Linked DNA regions of Arabidopsis thaliana. The protein of the gene in region 3 interacts with the protein of the main gene of each other region in a pairwise test. Each region holds a gene or a part of one and is shown on either strand. Other genes may lie near its edges.

Region 1 (6,806 bases), on a different chromosome or scaffold from region 3:
AAAACCATCCTTCGTAATATTTTTGTTGTTTTAGGTATTTTGAAAAAGAGATAGTTACATTTGGTATTTCTTCATGAGAACATACATTGTTGTTATTCTTCTTCTCTTTCTAGCATCAGTACTTTCAGGTAGCTTTAAAGCTACATGGTAGTACAACTCAGTGCCAAATACCTCTTCTGAAATTCACTGGATCTCATAGCCTGGCATCTCAATTACATCATCTACTCCCGTCATTTAATGTGGACGCAACATATTTATGTGCCAATCCGATGTTCCATTTGAGAATGAAACATCTTGCCCTCGAATATCACTTAATTAGGAATATTCTAATAACTTAAAAAACACTTCAAGTTGCTTGTCTTTCATCTAAAGACCAACTCGTCGATGCCTTGACAAATCCACTGGCTTGCAATCGTTAACCTTTTTCAAATTAACATTTTTTCCAAGAGTGGAGTAGTCAGTCCAATCTTGAGGGGTTATGTAAAGGAAAAATGTTATTATATAAATGTAAAAGTCTTAAGTGTAATTGTAGATAGAAAAATCCTAATCTCTGATGTATAAATATGTTCTCTCAAAAGTAATATAATTATTGTTCAATACTAATTCCATATGGCACACTCTTCAGCCTGCTCTCGAGTCTGTACTCTTAACATAAATTAACTTGGTTTTAGTCCATCATTCCAAATTAAGAAACGGTGAACGGTTTGTATATTCGATAGCTACTTGGAATCGTTTTTTTTCTTCTCTTTTTTGTTTGTTAATTTGTTTTGCTAAGAATGTAAAATTCATTGAAAATGAAAATGTTTAGGGTTTAAGATATTGTCTGTCTTAGCCTGTATAAGCGGTCCCATGGCACAAAAGATTAATAATATGTAATTTCAGAATTTGTTTTTGCTTCCATATTTTTATACTTGTGATAGGGGTCGCTACATCAAGAGAACGAAACGCAAGATCATCTATTTCTCTAGCACTTTTAGTAACTCAATCTGAAGGTTCTTCACCAATCTCGCTGGTCTCGATCCTCCTTCAAGCCTCCACATTCTGCTTCTATGGATCAAACATGCTCTCCAAACTCATAAATTGTTCTCATGGAAACGGCTAGCTAGATAGCCATAGGGTATCTATAGTGGCCATTCATTTTTAGCCACAAATGTTTTTTTGGCCATTGATAAATAATGTAGCTTTTTGCAGATTTCTAGTGAAATAGTTGCTAACCTACTTTACAATATAAAACATATCACATTCATACATAAAAGGAAACTACTAATTCCATCAAACCTTTCTCCATTACAAACACTTATAATAAATTAGGGGGGAAAATTGTGGAAAAGTATTAGTAACCGAAGCTTCATTTAATAATACATAGCCAGAAAAAATGACTTGCCTTTTGAGACACCTTTCGAAGTAATGTGGGAATTGGGATGAACGAAACATAGGTGGAGAATATTCTAACACATTGATAATGATTCTATATGCATGCTAAGTTAGCCCAAATATATATATTGATACAAGACTGGACTACCATCCCCACTTAGGTAAGGAGAGTCCACTTATCAAAACTTTATTCCGATTTAACTATAATCCGCATGTGAATTTATATGAATATTCCATCTTTGAACCGAAAATCCCATCCACGTCTAGAGAGATCTCGTTATCATCCCTTCTCCATATGGTTAAGCCTGAAACATGTCTGCACGTGTGCCCTCAATAATAAACTTCTTACATAAAATAGTTTCAATATATATACCTTTATAGAATCATATATCAAGAGTATCATGCCTAAAAGGTATCAAAGAATGAAATTAAGGATGGTTGAATACCGGTACCATGCTCAACATGACTAGATCCGTCGAGGCAAATGCGGTGGTCCGGTCGCCATGGGATGGACTCATCGACGGATCTTTCTAAAGATCGATAGCGGCTAACTTATTGACTATTGAACAAGGAGATTTTCCCTCTTTTTTTTTTGTTGGTCTGGATCTTTGTGTACTATGCATCCTTTCCGTTTTATAAGCAAAGCAGAGGGTATTATATTATATTTTACAACATGAAAAATGATCAAAAAGCTACAACATTTAATGTTTAGGAGAAACAAAATTAATAAATAAAGATAAAGACGTTGTCTTTGGATTATTGACACGAAACGAGCGCAAAGCAACCTAATTTAAAAAAGTGCAAACGTACCGTCAGATAGTTGACACTTGGAAAAGAGTAGCCCACGTGTTGGGAGTGGCACATTTTAGCCTGAGACAATGATTTTGCTAACCCACGCCACTCTTACTTTTCAACTTTATTTTTTAATTATTTATTTATTTAGTTCCTTTTCCTTCTTTTGGTTTCGTTTGGTCCCACGCTCTAAGCCAATACGAGGATTCCAGACGAAATCTTTGTTGTGAAGACTAAAACACGTGGCATTAAGTTATTGGAGATATCTAGATTGTCTTAAAAGCCTTGACCACGTCATCATTCTGTATCTGACCACTCCAAACTTATACAGTATAAAGTACAAACTGGTCAAATCGTAAAATGTGTTTTTATCTCCGTAGTTCAACCTGAATGTTTCAGTTTCTATTTTGAGAATCTAGAAACATTATAAAGACCAACGTTATTAAAAAATAAACAGTTGAGGACCTACGGTATTGATTATGGATCACCTAATTAGCTAATCTAACACTTAAAATGCATTAGTTAAGAAAGTGCCCACCACCTAAATCATATGATCAATGCCCTTCACTAACTCCCATAATTAATTATGATTACTAGAAGCTTTAGTTTTTACTATAATGTTTTTCTTTTTGTCACATTTGAGTCAAAACAACACATCTCACTCTAATCATCTGTGTTTTGCTTTTGATGGAAGCAACAACACCCATCAATGATCAAACCAAGAATAAAAAAAAACAGGAATCGAAATGTGCAAAACATGTTTTCAAAGGTTGGGTATTTTTTTAGCTTACTCTGTTTTTCTAATGGAAGCTTGATGTGTTTGTATGAACCTAAACTTTCTCCTCGGCGTGACCAACTGTTTCTCATCTTTTCGGTTAAGAGCATTACCCATTGAGACGTTACGTTTCAGCATTGGCTCAGGGAGATCGATCAGTGGCTCGTGCTGATTGATATGGCTCAAGAAAGAGCGCTGAGGAAAGCTTTCTCTTTTCATCGAGCGTTTTGCTCCAACAGCTTTCTGGTCTTTCCATGACTCTATGTTCCACTGCCGAAATGCCTCTTCTGCTTCAAGTTGCTTCACACTAGCGATTTCTACCCGGTTTAACGCAACTTCCAAGGCTTGTTTACTTTGTTTAACTTCTTCGTTAGCTTCCTCCAGCTTCCTCAAGATCTCTATTCTTGAGACATTGGTGGATAATTCTTTGTTCATCTGTGCTTTAAGTGTTAATGGAAAACATGGTGTCTTAGGGAAGCAGAGAGCGTCTTGGTTTCTTCTGCTGGATAATATGGTCATTTCAGCAAGCGCAAGTGCTTCCGCTGCTCTTGCTGCCTCTTCCATTTTTCTTGCAGCAACCAATCTCATATCTGCAGTTCTCGGGCAGGTTTTGCTCTGTTTATGGAAAGCTGTATCATAGGTTTCAACTACCATCTTAATCTGTTCACATTGTGGATTCACTGGTAAATTCTCGGTATTGAATCTCTCTACTTGATCAGGACCTGCTGGTTTAAACTTCAAACTGTTAAGTTCCTCCGCTAGAGACGCTACTCCAAGGACATCTTTCTCTTCCTTCGTTTTCATATTCAGAGATTCAGCATAAGAGTGGATCAACGCAAGATCATCCATGGTTTTACAAAGATTCATACCAGCTTGCTTCATTTCCATGGTCATCAGATCCGGAGACTTCAGGGGATTACGATGGCAGTGCTCATCGACCATCTCTTTGGAGTGTGAACGCAAATGTTGAGGGGTCTCCTTGCATCTCAGTGCTTGCTGCTGAAGCTGCCACTTCAAATCTTCAAAAATCCTTTTGGTTGATCCAAGAGCTTCAAGAAGATCCAGAGTCTCTAACTCTTTCATAATCAGATCCTTCTCAAGCTCCACTGTCTGTTCTTCCATTCTCTTTATGTCAAATTCTCCCACACAGTCCTGAAGAATGACAAACCAAAAAAACATAAAACAAATCATGCTATATAATACCAAAAAAAAATCTTACATAACATCTTGCTAGTTCCAGAATCAATTGCCGCAAATGCAAACATCAAATTAGCTATCACTTATTACAAAATATCTACTCAGTAACCAAATCGAATCAGCTATCAGTTATTCAGTTTGTTAGCATACTTAACAGTTAGAGAACATACATTTCAAACTTTCAGTGACATTAATGCTCAAACTTTAAATGAACAGACTTTGTAAATCGGAAACTAGAAGAGAACTCACGTAATTGTCTTCAAGATTGAAGGGAACCCAGAACCCACGACCACCATATAACTGTGGAGAAATGTCGATTTCAGCTCTCAAGCATCCTCTCCTTGTATTCTCCGGGTTGAAATTCTCGGACCCGGTTCCGGTTCTCACTTCCCGGATTACGGGTGTACCGGGAATCGTCTCCGCCGCAGGGCTCTGTTGCCTCTCCGCCATTTCCGTTAGCTCGAGAACGAATTGGTTTGTACAAGTGAAAGGGAAAGATAATGAAAGAGTGATCTATTTACAGTAATCATAGTTACTGATCAGAAGCAAACAAGATTGAGAGCTTCTCTATGATTGTGTTTTTCTCGGTAATGAAAGTCACTCACGAGAGAGACTCGAAGAACAAGAATGCAGGCTTTGATGATGCTACTACTAATGGCTGTGGCGACGTGGCTTCTATTGATTGGTTATCTGATTAATTAATAAATGAAAATTTTGGGCCGTTGATTAAGGAAGCGATATTGGGCCGTTGGTACGAAGTTCAAGTTCGTCTATATTGGGCTTTTTTGTGAAGGAAATTCTTACGTATGTGTTGTTTGTTTCTGTTCAAATACGAATATCCGAAAATTGTTATAATTTTCCCGTGCGATATTAGTGTATAGTAAATGTATGAGTGAAATAAATAGGTGGAGCTTTCCCTTATAGTTTTCTAACCAATTTGTGTGGCCATCACATTAAAGCAAAATCCGAGTAGGAGAAAACGGACCACGTACGAATACGATTGGAAACGACCATTAAATTATACGACCTCCCTCACTCAACCGTCCAAATTCATCACCGTCGTCTTTCGATCTCTCACGTTTCTATTTATTTCTCCGCATACGTTTCTTCCAACTAATTAGAACCGACAAATATATATATCTTTTCTAATTACTATTGTTGGGAGTTACCAGTTAGCACTTGACATTGGTACGTATTCAGATGGTTTGGTCTGACACTCTGAGTAGTTCCCTATTATATCCTATCTAAATTATCATTTCATTAAATGTAAACCATTATATCTTTTGGATGAACATGCCCCAAACTTTTGGTCAGTAGTTTCAAATTACGACAAACAAGGTTAGTAGTCTTGATATATATTAAAACGTGTGGATTTGTTGGTCAATAATTATTTCCTTAATTATAAGAACACCAAATAAAAAGGTTTATAGAGTGGAATCCCACAAAAGGTAACATATTAAATACTCTAAGCAATGCTTACTACAGTAACTGTTTACCAATAATGTGATCCTCACCTCACGACTCTCTTATTATTAATGAAAACGCATTAAGTAATGCATACAGTAAGATAGCCACCTTTCATTTATTATCTAACCAATTTTTTCCCCTATGTATGATCTTCCATATACTTGTAATATGCTCATCCATATGAATTTTTCCTAAAGAAAATAAAAAAGCAGAATAAATATCCACGATTATATACAACCGTGCAAAGAAGATTCTTTTGTTTCATCGGCAAACTTGTTTTACTCGCAATACATATTACTCTTTGTCACCTCTAAAGAAGCTTCGAAACTAGCACTTGTTGTTTCAATTTTCGTACATCAATTCTCATCAAAAGCCGACTCAAACATAAACCGAGAGTTTATAAAAAACAGATGTCAGAAAGACTAGAAGATGACTTTGCAATCGATGAAGAGAGATCCTCCTACTATGGCGGAGCCTCCATACCATTCATATGGGAGTCAAGGCCAGGAACACCCAAAAACCACCTCTGCTCCGATTCCTCTCTTCCTCTGCCTCTCACACCGCCGCCCTCATACTACTCCTCCGGGATTTTGTCGACACCAAGGACGCAAAGCAAGGTGAGATCAAAACTAAGTAAGTTTCTGTCCTTCTCCATGTTCAGTGATCTCAGGAGGAGCAATCACGGTAGCAAGAAGACGGCAAGCTCATCGTTTTCTTGGTCTTCTACGTCATCTTCATCTTCCTTTTCCTCCTCGCCACCACATTCTTTGAAAAAACGTATGAGTCACGACAAAAAATCGCCACTTCTGTACGCTAACTACGAAGAGGATGAGCTTAGGTCTTCACCAACCTCGACTCTGTGTTGCTCCAACGGGGGAAGACTTGGCTGTAGTTCTTCAATGGGGAGTGTGACAAGAGCTCTGTTCTCTGGGTCAATGGAGGGTATGAAGAGACATGAGACCACAGGTAAAGCTCTAATCATCAGCGACATGAATAAAGCTTGATTATGTGAATAAAGCTTGGTTTTTTCTATGAGCTGCTTCGCCTCATTGAACAGAGAGTGTTATAGTTATTGGTGTGTGAATGTAAGTATATAGTTTGTCTCTCAGTCGTGGCCTTACCTGTGTATTGTGGACAGGCTTTTTCGTCAATTCATGTCTAAGTAGAACCAAGAACGTTCTCCCACTGAAACGATGTTAAA
Region 2 (6,061 bases), on a different chromosome or scaffold from region 3:
GTTAAGTTATTTTTGTTAGTTTCTTTGTTTTGTTTTGCAATGGCAATGTTTATCTAGTGGCAGATGGGAACTGTTAGGATAGGGATTAAGGTGCAGAAGTGGACCACGAGACCAGCCCTCTGGGCCGGTGATGCACGTGGTTAGGGTATGGTCGGACCCTCCACTTGTCTCCTCTTCGACCCAGTCTATGTCGGACCCACTTTGGGCCACGCAGGTCTCTCTTTCATGGTGCCAACAAATAATTGTCTCTTTTTCTCTTCTTTCTTCCCAATTTATTGGTTCAACTGTTAACAAGTTTTTCCCTTTAAATGTGACAATGTGCCTCTTTATTACCTCTTTTTGGGGGAGTTTACACAATTTAAAGATTACTTTGGTTGACAAAAGAAAAAAAGGTTTCCAAAATTCACGAGTCATAATTAAAAAGTTATTATTACTTAAGTCATATAGATGATCGATGACTAAAATATACTATTTGTCATTGTTTTTCATAAAGTATATAATCTGTATAAGCATTGTGGAATTTTGCTATTGAGAGTACTGTGTCACTAATCACTTAATCAGTAGTCACCACCATTACCAAAATTTTTGTTTTGTCACACTATGTCAAGTTTCATATCCAACGGTTTGTAAAGTGCTTAAATGATGATGATGAACCATCTATATACGAATACGAGTGTCTTACTTAGACGTAAACTCGTTCGAATGTCGTTGTAGATATAGATACTCGGTTAAGAAACCACAGCTTTCAAGAAAAGAATTTGATAAATTACAAGAAAATATTCGTTTATAATATTATAATTGTTTGCATTGTGACTACAAGTCTACAAATAGTAGTTCTATATGTTAAAAAAAAAAAAAAAAAAGTTGGACGTATAAGTATTTTGAAGTGTGTCAACCCATGCATGCTGCATCTAATACATGATTTTAATTTAATATAAGTCCAAGGAACATACATTCGCACACGAGTTATACACGTTGTCATGTAAACTTGGAAATGTCTTTACAAAATAAATTGAAATCAATTAGACTGATAATCATTTATAAAGAATAATAATCGTATGATTAATGCATAATAGACAATGAGTTTGGTGGAAATCACCTAACAAGCTTAATCAAAGGTTAATTGGGGGAAAAACACCACATTTACCCAATTTATTCGTGACACTCAACATCCAACTTTTAATTCTTTGTTTTTTTTTTGTTTAATAAATCAAACTTTAGTTCTATGTATTGTCAAAACTTTTCTTTAATGCGCTATTATTAACGTTATTATGATTGTATATATGTGGCCCCAAAGCATTCGTAGCCACTATTTGCAAATCTCAAGCTTACCTTCCAAAAAAATATCCTGCCTAAATTGCCCCTTGTATCAAGGTCTCTAAACCCACTTGGACGGCAGAAGTCTCATTCAACTATATCTCAATCCAAAGTATTGATCATGAGTTATATATTCACAATACTGTATATACATTTCATAAAAAGTAGCTACATTCTAAAAAAATGTTAACGAGATTATAGCTAGAGGTGGTATGAATTTGAAGAGACTGCTGCGTGAGTTTAGAAGATTATGTGTATGTATTAACAAATTGATATGTCTTTAACATACTTTGTTATATCATACGTATGCAAGTCCTATAGTAGTTGCAAAGACACTACGATATAACTTTTAAGTAAACTATAAGGTAACTTACGAGTAGATGATTTATTAGAAAAACATAACAAGGTTATTACGTGCATATTTTATCAGTGGATCATCTAACAGTCGAAGGTTTAGAATAGTTTAGTGGTTCAAATATATACTCTGAAATATAAGAGATAGGATTCAAGTTTTCCTAGCTACTATGATTTCAATTGTGGTAGATCAGTGTAAACATCTAAAATGAAGAAAATACTCTGGCTCATTCTTAGCCTCCTTGAATGAATATAGTTAACTTAGGTCCGAGATTGTGTAAAGGCTATTAGATAATACGAGATAGTGATACCATAAATCACCGATCACTAACGACAAAATATCACAGTTGAAATGGACTTTGACTTTATCTGACAATAATCACGTTCTTGCAGAGAGATAAGATTGGCTCTACAGCTACCCAAAAGGCAAAGTTAATGAAGTTTCGGACAAAACCATTAATTGCAACCTTCCCTTCTTTTCCTACGATCGATTTCCGGAAAAGCAACTATTTTCACTAACTCTGCGAAAGTTCCAGAGATTTTGGATCTGGAATATACATATATGCCTTAACGAATCAAAAAACTTTTCAGTAATACAATAAGTATTTTCGGAACAAAGAAAACAACAAATAAAAAGCTTTCAACGGTAGATTAGAGAGATAGTTTACACATACGTATGACTATTTTTTCATGATTTCAAACATAAAAAAAAAAACTCACAACTACATGTAACAAAAAAAACAAAAATCCGATGCTTCTCGTGCATGGGATACAAATATTAAAAATGCATGAGCTAGATTGATTAGATAAATCTCAGAAAAATACTTTTGTGTAAGTTATAGTGACCTAAAAATCTCCCCCTATTAGTATTAAATGTCATATAGTTTGTGCTTTCGTTATAATTTATGCTACGTAACAATTACCAAGCCAAAACTCCACCTAATCTGCATCAACAAAACTAGTGACAAGACAACATCAGCCAATAGAGATTAGAATTACCAAATTATATGATTAGCGACAAGACAACATCAGCCAATAGAAACTATAATTACCAAATTATATGATTTCATAACATTTTCTAAATAAAAATAAGCATACATATATAGGAAGAAAAAAAAAAAGAGTTACAGTGGCAGTGAGAGCGCGTAAAAAAAAAGTAATTAAAACGGTAAAGAGGATAAGATGTTTGTCTACGGTAAGACTCACTATACTTATTATACACCGACTGTAAATCAACGGTGGAAGATATGAAGTCTTCAGGTTGATTGTTTATCCACCGTAGATTCGAATCAGAACGTTGGTACGACACCGTACTGTGCGTGTGCTGCTGAAGCATAAACATGACTAAGGAAAATGTCGTCGTTTTCTGTCTCTGTTCTTTTCGCAAACCGGCCTTTGATCCTTGGCCGTGACTCTGCATAAGCTTTCCTCGAAGCGTAACGAATCGTCTTCTCAAATTTCCTGTTCTTTCTCTTCTCTCTGTACCTCAAAACCCTAGCTTCTCTATCCATAGAGCTCGCTTGATGATCACCACCAGTCGTCGAGCTAGTGATCGTGCTCCGGTTAACAGAGTTGTTTGTGTTTCCGTCAGGAACTACACCGTATTCAATAGAAGAAGTCGAAACCTGAAAATCACAAAATTCAAAGATTAGTTTTTTACTGAATTTAAGCAAATTTTATGATAAAAGATTTGATTTTGACGGAGGGAAATTACACTGTGGCTGACTGATTGAGAAGGGTAAGTGAAAGCAGAGAGCTTTGATCTGCAGAAATCAATATCGAAGCAATGATCATTGTTAGTTAACGGGAGAGGCTCTGTTTTCGTCTGAACCGGAACAAGACTATCTCCTCCGGCGTTGTTTTGATGATGATTGAACGAATTCGGAAACTCGAAATCAATAAGCCGATCGAAATCAGAAAACATAAAGTCAGAAGAACCTTTCATGTTTTCAGTTCCGATTTCGATTTTAGCCGGTTCGTTGAAATCATTAGGAAGTAACCACGGACATAAACCGAGATCATCAGCCATAACCGGAACAGCGGTTAAATCAACGGTGGTGGATGAGCCAAGGATACCAAAAGTCGAAGAAGCTGAGATTTTGGCGACGGCGGTTTCGGCTGAGTCGAAGAAAGTTTCGACGGGGACACGTTCGTGACGGCTAGCGAGAGGATTAGCAGAGTGAATATCGGCATCACAACTGACGCAAAGAGCGGCGGCGTCGGCTTTGCAAGTGACGGCGGCGGGAGCTTGTTCACAAACTTCACAAACCCACACGCGCTCGTGGCGAGTGAAGGAATGGATTCTTGTGTCACATGCTATGCATAAGAAAGCTGAGTCAACTCGACAGAACACGGCGGCGGTAACTGATTTACAAGCGTCACAGGAACGCGCCGCCGCGCCCCATCCGCCGGAGATTGATTTGATACTCTCTAAGCCGAATCCCATTAACTATAACTTTTTTTATTTTCTTGAGTTCACAAAACTCTCTCTCTCTCTCTCTTTGAAGTTTTTGTTTGAGAACGTGTGAGAGTTGGGTATTTGATTTGCTTGGATGATCTGTCATGCCCAGTCGGACAGAGAAGAGACACTGTATTTTAACGAATTGTAATATGACACGTGTAAACATGACATCCACATAATAAAATCGAATTATGGGATTTGTTTTAATAAAATCGTGATGGAGATATGTTTTGTAGAAATGAAAATTAGGCTAACAAAATAAAATAATTAGGCTGGTCCTTGATATCGTAATTCATTTTTCTTTCATGTAGGAGTATCTACAAATTCAAAATATTTTATTTCTGTTAACTCCAAAACAAATTTGTTTGAGGTTTTGAATGGATTTTATCTATCATGTCGGTATTGAATTAGTTTTGTTTTGGCTGTTTTATTTGTTAATGAATAGAAATAAAGTTTAATTAATAAACTTCGTATGTTCTTGAGGCATCATTTCGTCTAGGGACCGATACTAGCTTATAGTCTCCTTTTCAAACATGATTTCAAAATTTATTATGTCAATGACTCAAATTCTTCTCACCAAACTAAATATTAAACTTTGATTTATTTTTATTTTTGCGTGTGTATGCATATAACTTGTACATCCTTAAATGAGATAAGCTAAAGCTTGTACATCTTTAAATAATAAGATGATATTAATGACCCATACAATTTTTTCATCTTAAAAGAAAAAAAAAATCTTCTTTCTCGACCAAATGACCACTATGTTCATAAATTTTACAAATATTTTTTTAAAAACTTTAATTTTCTATTTATTTTGTCAAATATGTATTATCTTTTAGAATGATAACTCCGTTACGTAGTTGTAGACTTATTATATACTAGTTGTATCGTATTCTAGACAGGGCCCTTTGAGGATGGATATTCATGGAATTTTAAATAATATTGAAAAAATGGACAGTATGGTCGGCATGATTTAGAAATCTTTATCTACAGTTCGGCATGAAAGCAAATTTGATTTTTCTTTCTAATTACAGAAACTTTGACTTCGAGAAATCATAAGGTATAGCTTTACTTAAGATTTCTTTTTGCGGTTTTAGTAATGAAGATTCGGTAATATATTATCAATAAAAATATACATTTTGTAGTGTGTTATAAAGCAACGTGTTCGAGATTCAATTCTCATAAGATCATACCTTATAATTTATCTTTTCTCTCAAAATATTAAATCTTTCTAATGTTTGCTTTCTGATATAATGTTTGCTTTCTGATATATATTTTACTAATCAATAATCTTAAATGATGAAGTATACTTATACGATATTTTCTTTTATAATGTTTGCTTTCTGATATGTTCTTCTTAGGTAGTAAAATACATTCTTTTTCGTTTACCGGCTAAAAACTGTATAATCCAAAAATTTACACAGGCCCGTTTGACCTAGGGTCTAGTTCCAAAAGGAAGAACAAAGTAAACGCAACGGTTGGTACTTAAAAAGAGAGTGAAAAGAAAAGATATAAGGCAACACTATCAAAATCCTTATCTATCCACGTATACGAAAGAGTTAGAGGAAACATATTTGTACAATAGAAATATTGCGATAGATTTTTATATCACAGTTCTATCTATATATATTACATAGCCAATGATATTTATCTTTATTGTTATCTTCCGACATGAGATCCACGCAAAATTGTTTTGCTGTTTTGGGCACTAAAATGCACTGTATTTTGACCCCATCTCAAGATTTTATCGTCAATTTTAAAATCATGTGCGAATAAATTTTCTGTATCTTCTTTTTTATTATTTTCAATATTTGACTATATATGATTCAAAGTTTAGAAAAGAAGAGTACTTATTACATAATTAGTTCGCCTCAATCAAAAATTAACCAATAATATATCGGAACAGATTCCACCACAATCGAGGATGTT
Region 3 (8,421 bases):
TTGGATATCCGTTGGGATAAGTGTTTAACATTTTGAAATTCATGTTCATACACAAAATGGTTTAGTAACATCGATACGCATCAAGCCAATGAATAATTAATAGTTTCCCCCATTATTGTTGGTTTTGGGTCAGAAACCAAATAGTTTTCATCTAAAATCTTTGAATGTGATAAGTGCTCCACCACAGCACGTTGAGATGAACCCTCGAAGGAGGATAAGAATACATGTTGGATATGAATGATAACTAAGCCATCCTAGAAGGATTTATATACCGTTTTGAAGACTATCATATTATATAGTCAGCTATTCCAACATAAGGGGGAGAATGTATACAACTGGTGAAAAAGATAAATAGAAATGAATTATCAATGATCCTCGGAGTAAAGAATGTATATTAAGAGTCCAAAAGATAATTCAATTACAGAATTTAGCGTTGTAATTGCCAGACGCATTTGCTGACCCAAATAAAGTGATGAAGTCACCTATACCAGTTGTAAATTAAATGCTCCAGAATATAATGAATGTCCTGTAAGGACCAATTTCAAACTGCTATTGAGTCTTAAGATCGCATAAAGCGTAATAGACCCTGGTTCCAAATATAAATATCCTCGTAAAAGTGAAGGAGCACAAAATTAAAAATGACCAAATTGAGGAAATAAATATTTTGATGATCTCTTGAAAAGAGTGAATGATCTCTAAAAGAGACATAAACATGACAAATGAAACATTTAAGTACTTGACAATGAAGAGATCTAGCTAGCTATGTCATGTCAAAATATAATGGAATCAAATGCAAATCGACGTCGTAATATATTTGCATGCTATGAGCAGTTGATATTATGGACAAAAAGGAGGATTATGAAAGAAAGTCTATTGAAAAGTGTACACAAAGTAATGATTAGCCAAAAATGGAAAAGAAGAAATAGACATATAATTATAATCTCTAGTAGAGATATTTGGACTAGTAGTCTATGCACATGATGTGTAAAACCATAAAAACATCATTGGAAGATAAATGAGTCTTTATGTGAAAGAATAGTGAAATTAATGAGATTTTCACAAAGATAAGAAATTTATTATGAAGAGATATATTCTCTTGTGGTGGATGTAATATTTTTAAGTATCTAAAGTCTGGCAATAAGACACGGAACACTGGATATGACATTTATATGAAATTCTTGAAAGATATAATCTCTGAAGGATTAATTATATGAGAATTATGTTCTCTAGAACTCTACTCGATCGAATAAAAAGAAATATATAACATGACATATAATCATATAAATGTATATTTATATTGAGTTTGTCAAAATATATTGATCAAACTAATATTTGTTTTGAAAATCATTAAAACTCCTACAGAGTTATCATAAGTAATACGATGACAATTATCTATGATAAAATATCACTGGATAATGATATTTATAAGTCTATATGAAAACCATATAATTTTGATCATTAAGATTATGGTTATTAATTCCAACGAGATATTGTATTTGATTGAAAATCATCTCCTGAAGAAGATGTTTCCGAGGGGGAGATTGAATGATATGTGTGGATGTACCCTTACTTTACGAGGCAGCATTTTAATGAGAACCCTTTATGAGGCAGCATTTCAAATACTTTACGAGTTATGATACTATAATGGTCATCAGGGGGAGTGTTATGAATAAAGATGGATGCCCATTATAAGGCCCATCATCTAAACCCATCATCTAGATGTTTCTAGGGTTTTACCCTTTCCTTGTACACCTATATAAAGAACCCTTTATCTCAATGGAATAACACACTCATTTCTTCTATCTCGTTCTCTGGTTATAACAAAAATAAATGATTTAAAACGAAAAATCAGGATGATTAATTCATTTTATTGAAATCGATTTTTTTTACAGGATATTAAAACCGAAAATTAATAAATACTTATGAGAGATTTTAGGAATGATTTCGTTTGAAGTAATGGTGGAGTTAATATATGAGAGATTTTAGGTAATATTTTTGTTAGGTAAATATTTGATTTAACTGTTAGCATAAATTCAGTGGCATTGAGTCGTAAATAAGTTCAAAGTCCAGAATTTATTTGTTAAAATGGCTGCAAAAATGTATATGTAGATGCATTATTTTGTACGTTGTGTATCCCAAGGTCTATTTAACAGTTATTTGCTTTGAGTTTAATGCATTATTCTTCTCTAATCCCTGCATTTTTTTTTTTTTTTTTTTTGGAAAATGGTAAATTAGATTCAAAAAAGATAACGTCGTTACAATTAGTGTATCATATGTTCTATATGAAATAGATTGAAATCAGAAATTAGAATGAACAATTTAGTGATTAACTTCAACTTTGAAGCCAGCGTTGGAAACGCATTTGCTTGTCGATCCATTGTATTAGAGTGGCTGCAGATTTTGGAGATTCATCATGACGTCTTCGATTCCTCTCATGCCAGATGGTGTAAACGGTGGTTTGAAAGATGTATTTCATCAAGAAACATGCTACACTATCCTTGCGTTGGGCCGAGACTATGGTGAGTAGTTGAGTCCAGTCACTTGTATAGTGTTGCTGAAACAATCCTCGAGCAAGCGCTTCACATAGTTTTTAACATTACTATTTCTCAACTTCTTTAAACAACATGCATAATTCTTCTCTAATCTTGCTTTTTGATTTTTAGCATCACTCATTTATGCATCAATCGATCTGACTCTGTGAGACGACAAAAGCTGGGAAGTGTGAGAGAAAAGGTTTATCAATTGAGTTGTACTTACTCAATACTCAAACTATTATAGATGTTTTCTTCTTTTGGTTTCACGAAGGATTTTCTTTCTTTGTATATGTACATGCAGGCTTGTCGAAACCCATGTCCAAAAACAACTTGGGACAAAAAATTTGTTGTTCATGCATTTTTGTTGGAGTCCCTGACTCTTGTAGTGTTGGAGAATAGGACAAATGAAGAAGTTCTACATGCGACTATATCGTAAGTTCATAATCCATACAAGAGCAGAAAGCTTTGCAAAACACATAGGCCAGATTTTATCAATCACCACCGACTTGACGTTTCCACGAGTCTTCGACGATCAGTTCATCAACTCCCCATTCCTCGTAACTGATTCAGAGTCATAAGTAAGTCGCAAGAAAAGAAGATATCAAATTTGAAAGAAGAGCTAAAAGTATTGATATAACTAATGCAATCTCACCTCATATCAGGTAGATAACGTCTAATGGTAAATGGAATCTTCCTTTGCCTAAGCTCTTTCATCGCAATCTTAAGCCAAATCATACAATAAACAACACAAATGTTCATATACATATCAACATTTACTGACAAATCATGAAAAACACAACAAGAAGGAAGAAGGCAACACCTCAAGTGGATCAGTCTCACCCTCCAACTCAACCATAACAGGAGCATTCATGCTGTATCAGCCAACAACAGTACATAGAATCAAACTTTCCGAGCCAACTAAACGGTTAATCAACAAAGATTGTTCTCAGTAGCTGACCTAATCTGCAAAGCACGAGTGCCGAGGATACGTGCACGTTCATACTTAGTCATAAACTTAGAGGTTTTACGTGGGCGTTGCACAGGTTCTGTTTCAACCTTATCTTCTGTTTCCAAAGGGTCAACATTAACATCATCGTTCTCCTTGATATCAGCATCTTCCTCTACTCCTTCCTACTCACACCAACACATTCTAATCAGCCTAGTAATAATAATAAGCAATGTCAATCTCTCTTCTACAAATAATAACTTACTTCGATCTCAGGCTCTGCTGGCTCATCTTCATATCTGCAATTGAAAATCACCACATAACATCAACAATTTGAAATCCGATGTATAAGATTCAAACGAAATTAGGGTTTTCTATCTAAACAATATGAAATTATAATCAATGCTACGATGCCAGAACAATAAGCAAATTTTCAAAAAAGAATCTCGTTGATAGACTCTCAAACTAGACAATAATTGATCCAATTGTTCTCAATCGTTTACGATTCGTCGGGAAGAAGAAGATAGAATCAACTGAAATCGAGTACAAATGATACTAACATAGGAAACAGAGAGGGAGAGATTACCCCAAGTCATCGACTTCATTGTAATCGTCGTCAGCCATTAAAGTCGATTTGAGAAATCGCTCTCCTTGCTCTCTCGATAAAACCCTAACGATCGATGCAACTTAACCGAATGACGGAGAATGCGTAAAGAAGACTCTCTATGAAGTTCGGTTTTTAATTGCCGGTTTTCTTAATGAACCGTCTATTCAGACCGGTTTTAATTTCAAACCCCATTTAAGCCCACATGTATTTTTTTTTTTTCCCCTAACATAGCCCTGGGCATGTGGTATTCGGGTCAGGGTCGGGTCGGATTTTTCGGGTTCGAATTTTTGGGTTTAGAAATTTTGGATCCGTATGGTTATATCAACAATTTCGGGTCGGGTTCGGTTCGGCTTCACTTCGGGTCCGATAATTCAGGTATTAGTTAAAAAAACCATAAGTAACCAAAACTATTTCGGGTTTGAGTACTACTTACCCAAACTTTGTCCAAATATACCCAAACATACATAAAAATATCCATAAAACCCGAAAGATCTGAAATTATAACAAGTTTTTCCTTAAGCCAATAATATAAAACAAGAAGTAAACCTTGTTTTAAGCTTGTTCCATAACTCAAATCATTAAACAAGTCACATTATTAGTGTATATATATCCTCATATGTATATATAGGGCTGGGCAAAAAACGGGACCCGATATCGAACCTGATACCCGAACCGAAAAATCGGGTTGGGGTGGGTTAGGGTTTTAAGAAATTACTTCATTGGGTAAAGTTTTAGTAAACCCGTGGGTATCAGGTCGGTCCGGGGTTTATCCGTTACCCAAACAGGATACCCGAACATAGATTTAATATCAAAAATATTAATTATATTTAATCTTAATATAATGTAATAATCTAAAATTATAATTATAAATCTAAATATATCAATTACTTTTAGATCTAAATACCCAACTATTTAAAAATTATTTGTTATGTTTGTCAAAATTTAGTATAATATATCTAAATCTAATTAAATTATTAAAATTTGTTAATATTTAAGGTTTTTTTTTTGTTGGGTACCCGCTATCTACACATAAAATACCCGTTTTCATTTGTTTGGCTATTCTTAGGGCCTGAAATTCTTTACCCAAGCCGACCCGAACCCGAATGTACCCGAACTAGACCGAAATCGAAAATTTTCATTTTACCCTATTGGGTAGTAAATCCATTACCCATTTAACCCGAACCCGAACGGGTTTTACCCGAATCCGAACGGGTTACCCATATGCGCAGCCCTATGTATATATATGTTCGGGTAATAAAAAGTACCCACGGGTATCGGGTTCAGTTCGGGTAATTTCCGGTACCCACGGTTATTTGAAAACAGAACCCGATCAAGTAATTAGCCGGAACCGAAGTAGAACGGGTTTGGTTATTTCGAGTCAAGTTCAGTTCGGTTCTTCGGGTTCCGGTATTATGTCCGGGCCTACCCCCACAAACGAAGTCAAGATAAACAATTTTTCTAGTGAGCAATTTGCACAAAAGAAAGGAGCCTAAGGAGGTATTGAACACTAGTGATTACACAATCAAGAAGCAAAACTTCTTTGATTCCTTGTTATCTTAGATCTTTTAAAACTCTTTCTTCTAAAATCTTTTTAGTATCTAAACACAAAGTACAGTGAGAGTTTACAAATCTTCCATAGTTTCACTTACTCAAAATCTAATCCTGTGAACTCAATTCATGTAATACACAATTCTGTAAAAGTTTCTCTGTTTCAATTAAAAAGAAAAAAAATCCAAACGATAATCATTGTGATAAATCACAAGATGATATCATCTTGAACACTAACATTAAGAGTCTTATTCTGGAGAACAATGCTTCCTATGACTGCTACTTCATCTTCCACAGTTACAGCCTCACCTGCAGAAACAAATTAATCAGAAAAAATATAACGAAAAATTTGTTGAACAAAAAGAAAACAATGAAGTTACCAAGAATGGTAATCCCAAGCCTGTCATTGTAATCTCCACTAGCTTGAACTCTTGACCATCTACCTATAGAAGATTTCCATCCGATAATTGAGTTTATAACAACAGCATTCTCCTGCATTTAACAAGAGTAGAGAACATTAAACAACGAATCTTTTGGATTCATAACAAGAAGAACATTCTAAAACACTGATTCCAAATTACCTTGATTTCAACATCGTCTAAGATTATGCAGCTAATAAGCCTTACACCAGGTCCAACACGAACATTTGCTGATATCGACACATTTGGACCGATCTTGTTCCAAAGAAATTTAAGTGTGTCATTTCATTTGCAAACTGAATGAGAAGTTTAGCTAGAATTCATGAGATGAAACAAATAAACTCACCTTTGCGGTTGGATGCAGTTTTACGGATGGGTGAATATAAACATCACCAATTATAGTTGGTTTCCTATTAGTACCATCTCCTGAAGCTAAAATATGAGGCGATGTTTCGCGGAATTGGGAAAGATATAAAGCCGAGCATTTCAAAGATTTCCTGTTTAAAGCAATTTCTTAGCATAAGGAGTAATCCAAGAACGTCTGAAACAATGATTACCACCAACTTACCCCGGAGTCTTGATCTGTTCCCAGAAATCCTTGTTCTCATATGTGTATAGTTGCTTCTTTCCAGCAAGAGGTGACAATATATCTTGATCTAATCTCACAAAATCTGCAGGAACAGACCTTGTAGCGGATTGGTAGTTGCTAGCTGCCAAGTTTAAAGAGATTATACAATGAATAACTTATGAAAAGACCAAAAGAATCATGAAAATGATGAAGCAGGTCTCTAATTGATAATATTGCAAGTCTCTGAGAGAGGCCAATAATGAATACTCACATGTGTCTCTTATTTGGCTATATACTTCTTCAATTGCATTGAAGATATCTGAAGTAAACACATAGACACCACAGTTTATCAAGTCACTGACCTGCATTGAGTAGATAATTTAAGCTAAACAAATTTCAGAGCCTGTGAAGGAATTAAGAAAACAGGATTGTTTAGCAGATAATTACGAAAGTCTCGGGCTTCTCTGTATAATGCAGGAGTTCTTTAGTATCAGGATCAGCTATCAATTCACCAAATTGGCTAGCTGCTTCTGCAGAAACCTGAAGTGAAAAAGCGATATTCATGTTTATGTTTGATCTTTATGTTTGTTTCCTTAGTGACATCTAAAATAACATCAGGATAACGAACCTTGATTACTAGCATAGTTCCAATACCACCATATCTTCGATGTGCGTCTACGAAAAGTAGTGAAGTACATCAAAGTAAGAAAATGAAAACGATGAAGCAGATTAGCGATTTCAAAGGGAGATTACCAAGTATGCCTTGAAGAGGGAAAGAACAGCAAACATCACAGTTGAGGAGGAAAACATGTGACTGTTCAAAGAGACAAGAAATGGAAGATCAATCAGGAAAACAAATGACTGATGAGGCAGGAACTAAAGTTGGGAATTTCATCAGAAATCAAACCGGTTTCTCTTCCATAATTCTATCACGAAAGTAATAAAGAGCACCAGCTGAACCATGGGGTTTATCTTCTTTCAAGTATCTATATAACAAGAACATCGTTCAATTCTCGATTTCACATTACACACCAAAAACCAAAAACACAAATGCTACTACAACTTACCGCACTGGAATTTTCAGCTCGTTAGATATTGAAGACACATACAAAGCAAATTCTCGTTCCTCGTAAAATCCAATCAGAAAAATCTGAGCCAGATTTGATATCTGTCCATGCCAAATACAAAACAAATATAATATGATCAATCATCATTACAAAGTTGAGAACTTTCCCATCCTTTGAGCCTGAAGAAACTATGAAAAGTTCAAAACTTTGACACTACAAATCATACAACAACAAGAAAATATTCCAAAGTGTAGAGTACTAAAATGGAACAAACCCACATAAAGACAAACGATCCATGTCAAATCAAAACAAGTTATGAGCAATCCACATTTCAAAGTTGACAACTTTCACGACTCAAGCAATACCAAACTTTTCTCAGGGATCAAAAGCAAGAAATAGTAAAAAGAAGAAACCTTTTTACAAGCAGAGATAGGATGATGAATCATAGGTTGACCAGCCAAAGGAATCAATGGTTTCGGTGTATTGAACGATAACGGGCGAAATCGAGTTCCTAAACCAATCCACATTAGCAAAAACCCAAAACCAAAATCAAAAATTCATGTTTTGAAAATAGAATTTGAGATCCAAAAGAGAATGTTATACCTTTGGTCGGACCACCAACCATGATCACAGCGACGACTTTCTCCTCCGACATGTCGAGATTCAATAAAACCTAGATTCGTTAAAGTTAAACACACGACGATGATCTGATTTTGTATTGAAAGGTCGTAT

What was found.
Region 1: the proteins of NRPB6B (region 3) and AT3G56270 interact in a two-hybrid assay, tested with the Arabidopsis thaliana proteins (one large-scale study listed by BioGRID).
Region 2: the proteins of NRPB6B (region 3) and COL5 interact in a two-hybrid assay, tested with the Arabidopsis thaliana proteins (one large-scale study listed by BioGRID).

What each region holds. Positions count from the first base shown.
Region 1 is NC_003074.8:20,868,002-20,874,807, reverse strand, and holds AT3G56270 (WEB family protein (DUF827)), read right to left. Parts: upstream 4,809-6,806; 5' UTR 4,589-4,808; coding exon 4,388-4,588; intron 4,094-4,387; coding exon 2,954-4,093; 3' UTR 2,701-2,953; downstream 1-2,700. Other genes in the region: AT3G56260 (uncharacterized protein), read left to right, coding at 6,016-6,609; AT3G56250 (uncharacterized protein), read right to left, coding at 6,652-6,726.
Region 2 is NC_003076.8:23,353,629-23,359,689, reverse strand, and holds COL5 (CONSTANS-like 5), read right to left. Parts: upstream 4,354-6,061; 5' UTR 4,118-4,353; coding exon 3,386-4,117; intron 3,297-3,385; coding exon 2,961-3,296; 3' UTR 2,701-2,960; downstream 1-2,700.
Region 3 is NC_003071.7:1,616,143-1,624,563, forward strand, and holds NRPB6B (RNA polymerase Rpb6), read right to left. Parts: upstream 4,238-8,421; 5' UTR 4,105-4,237; coding exon 4,067-4,104; intron 3,780-4,066; coding exon 3,746-3,779; intron 3,666-3,745; coding exon 3,493-3,665; intron 3,407-3,492; coding exon 3,355-3,406; intron 3,255-3,354; coding exon 3,187-3,254; intron 3,096-3,186; coding exon 3,026-3,095; 3' UTR 2,649-3,025; downstream 1-2,648. Other genes in the region: AT2G04650 (ADP-glucose pyrophosphorylase family protein), read right to left, coding at 5,844-5,944, 6,016-6,127, 6,217-6,309, 6,401-6,551, 6,623-6,764, 6,894-6,984, 7,070-7,162, 7,251-7,297 and 5 more. UniProt on the Arabidopsis thaliana protein: DNA-dependent RNA polymerase catalyzes the transcription of DNA into RNA using the four ribonucleoside triphosphates as substrates. Component of RNA polymerase II which synthesizes mRNA precursors and many functional non-coding RNAs.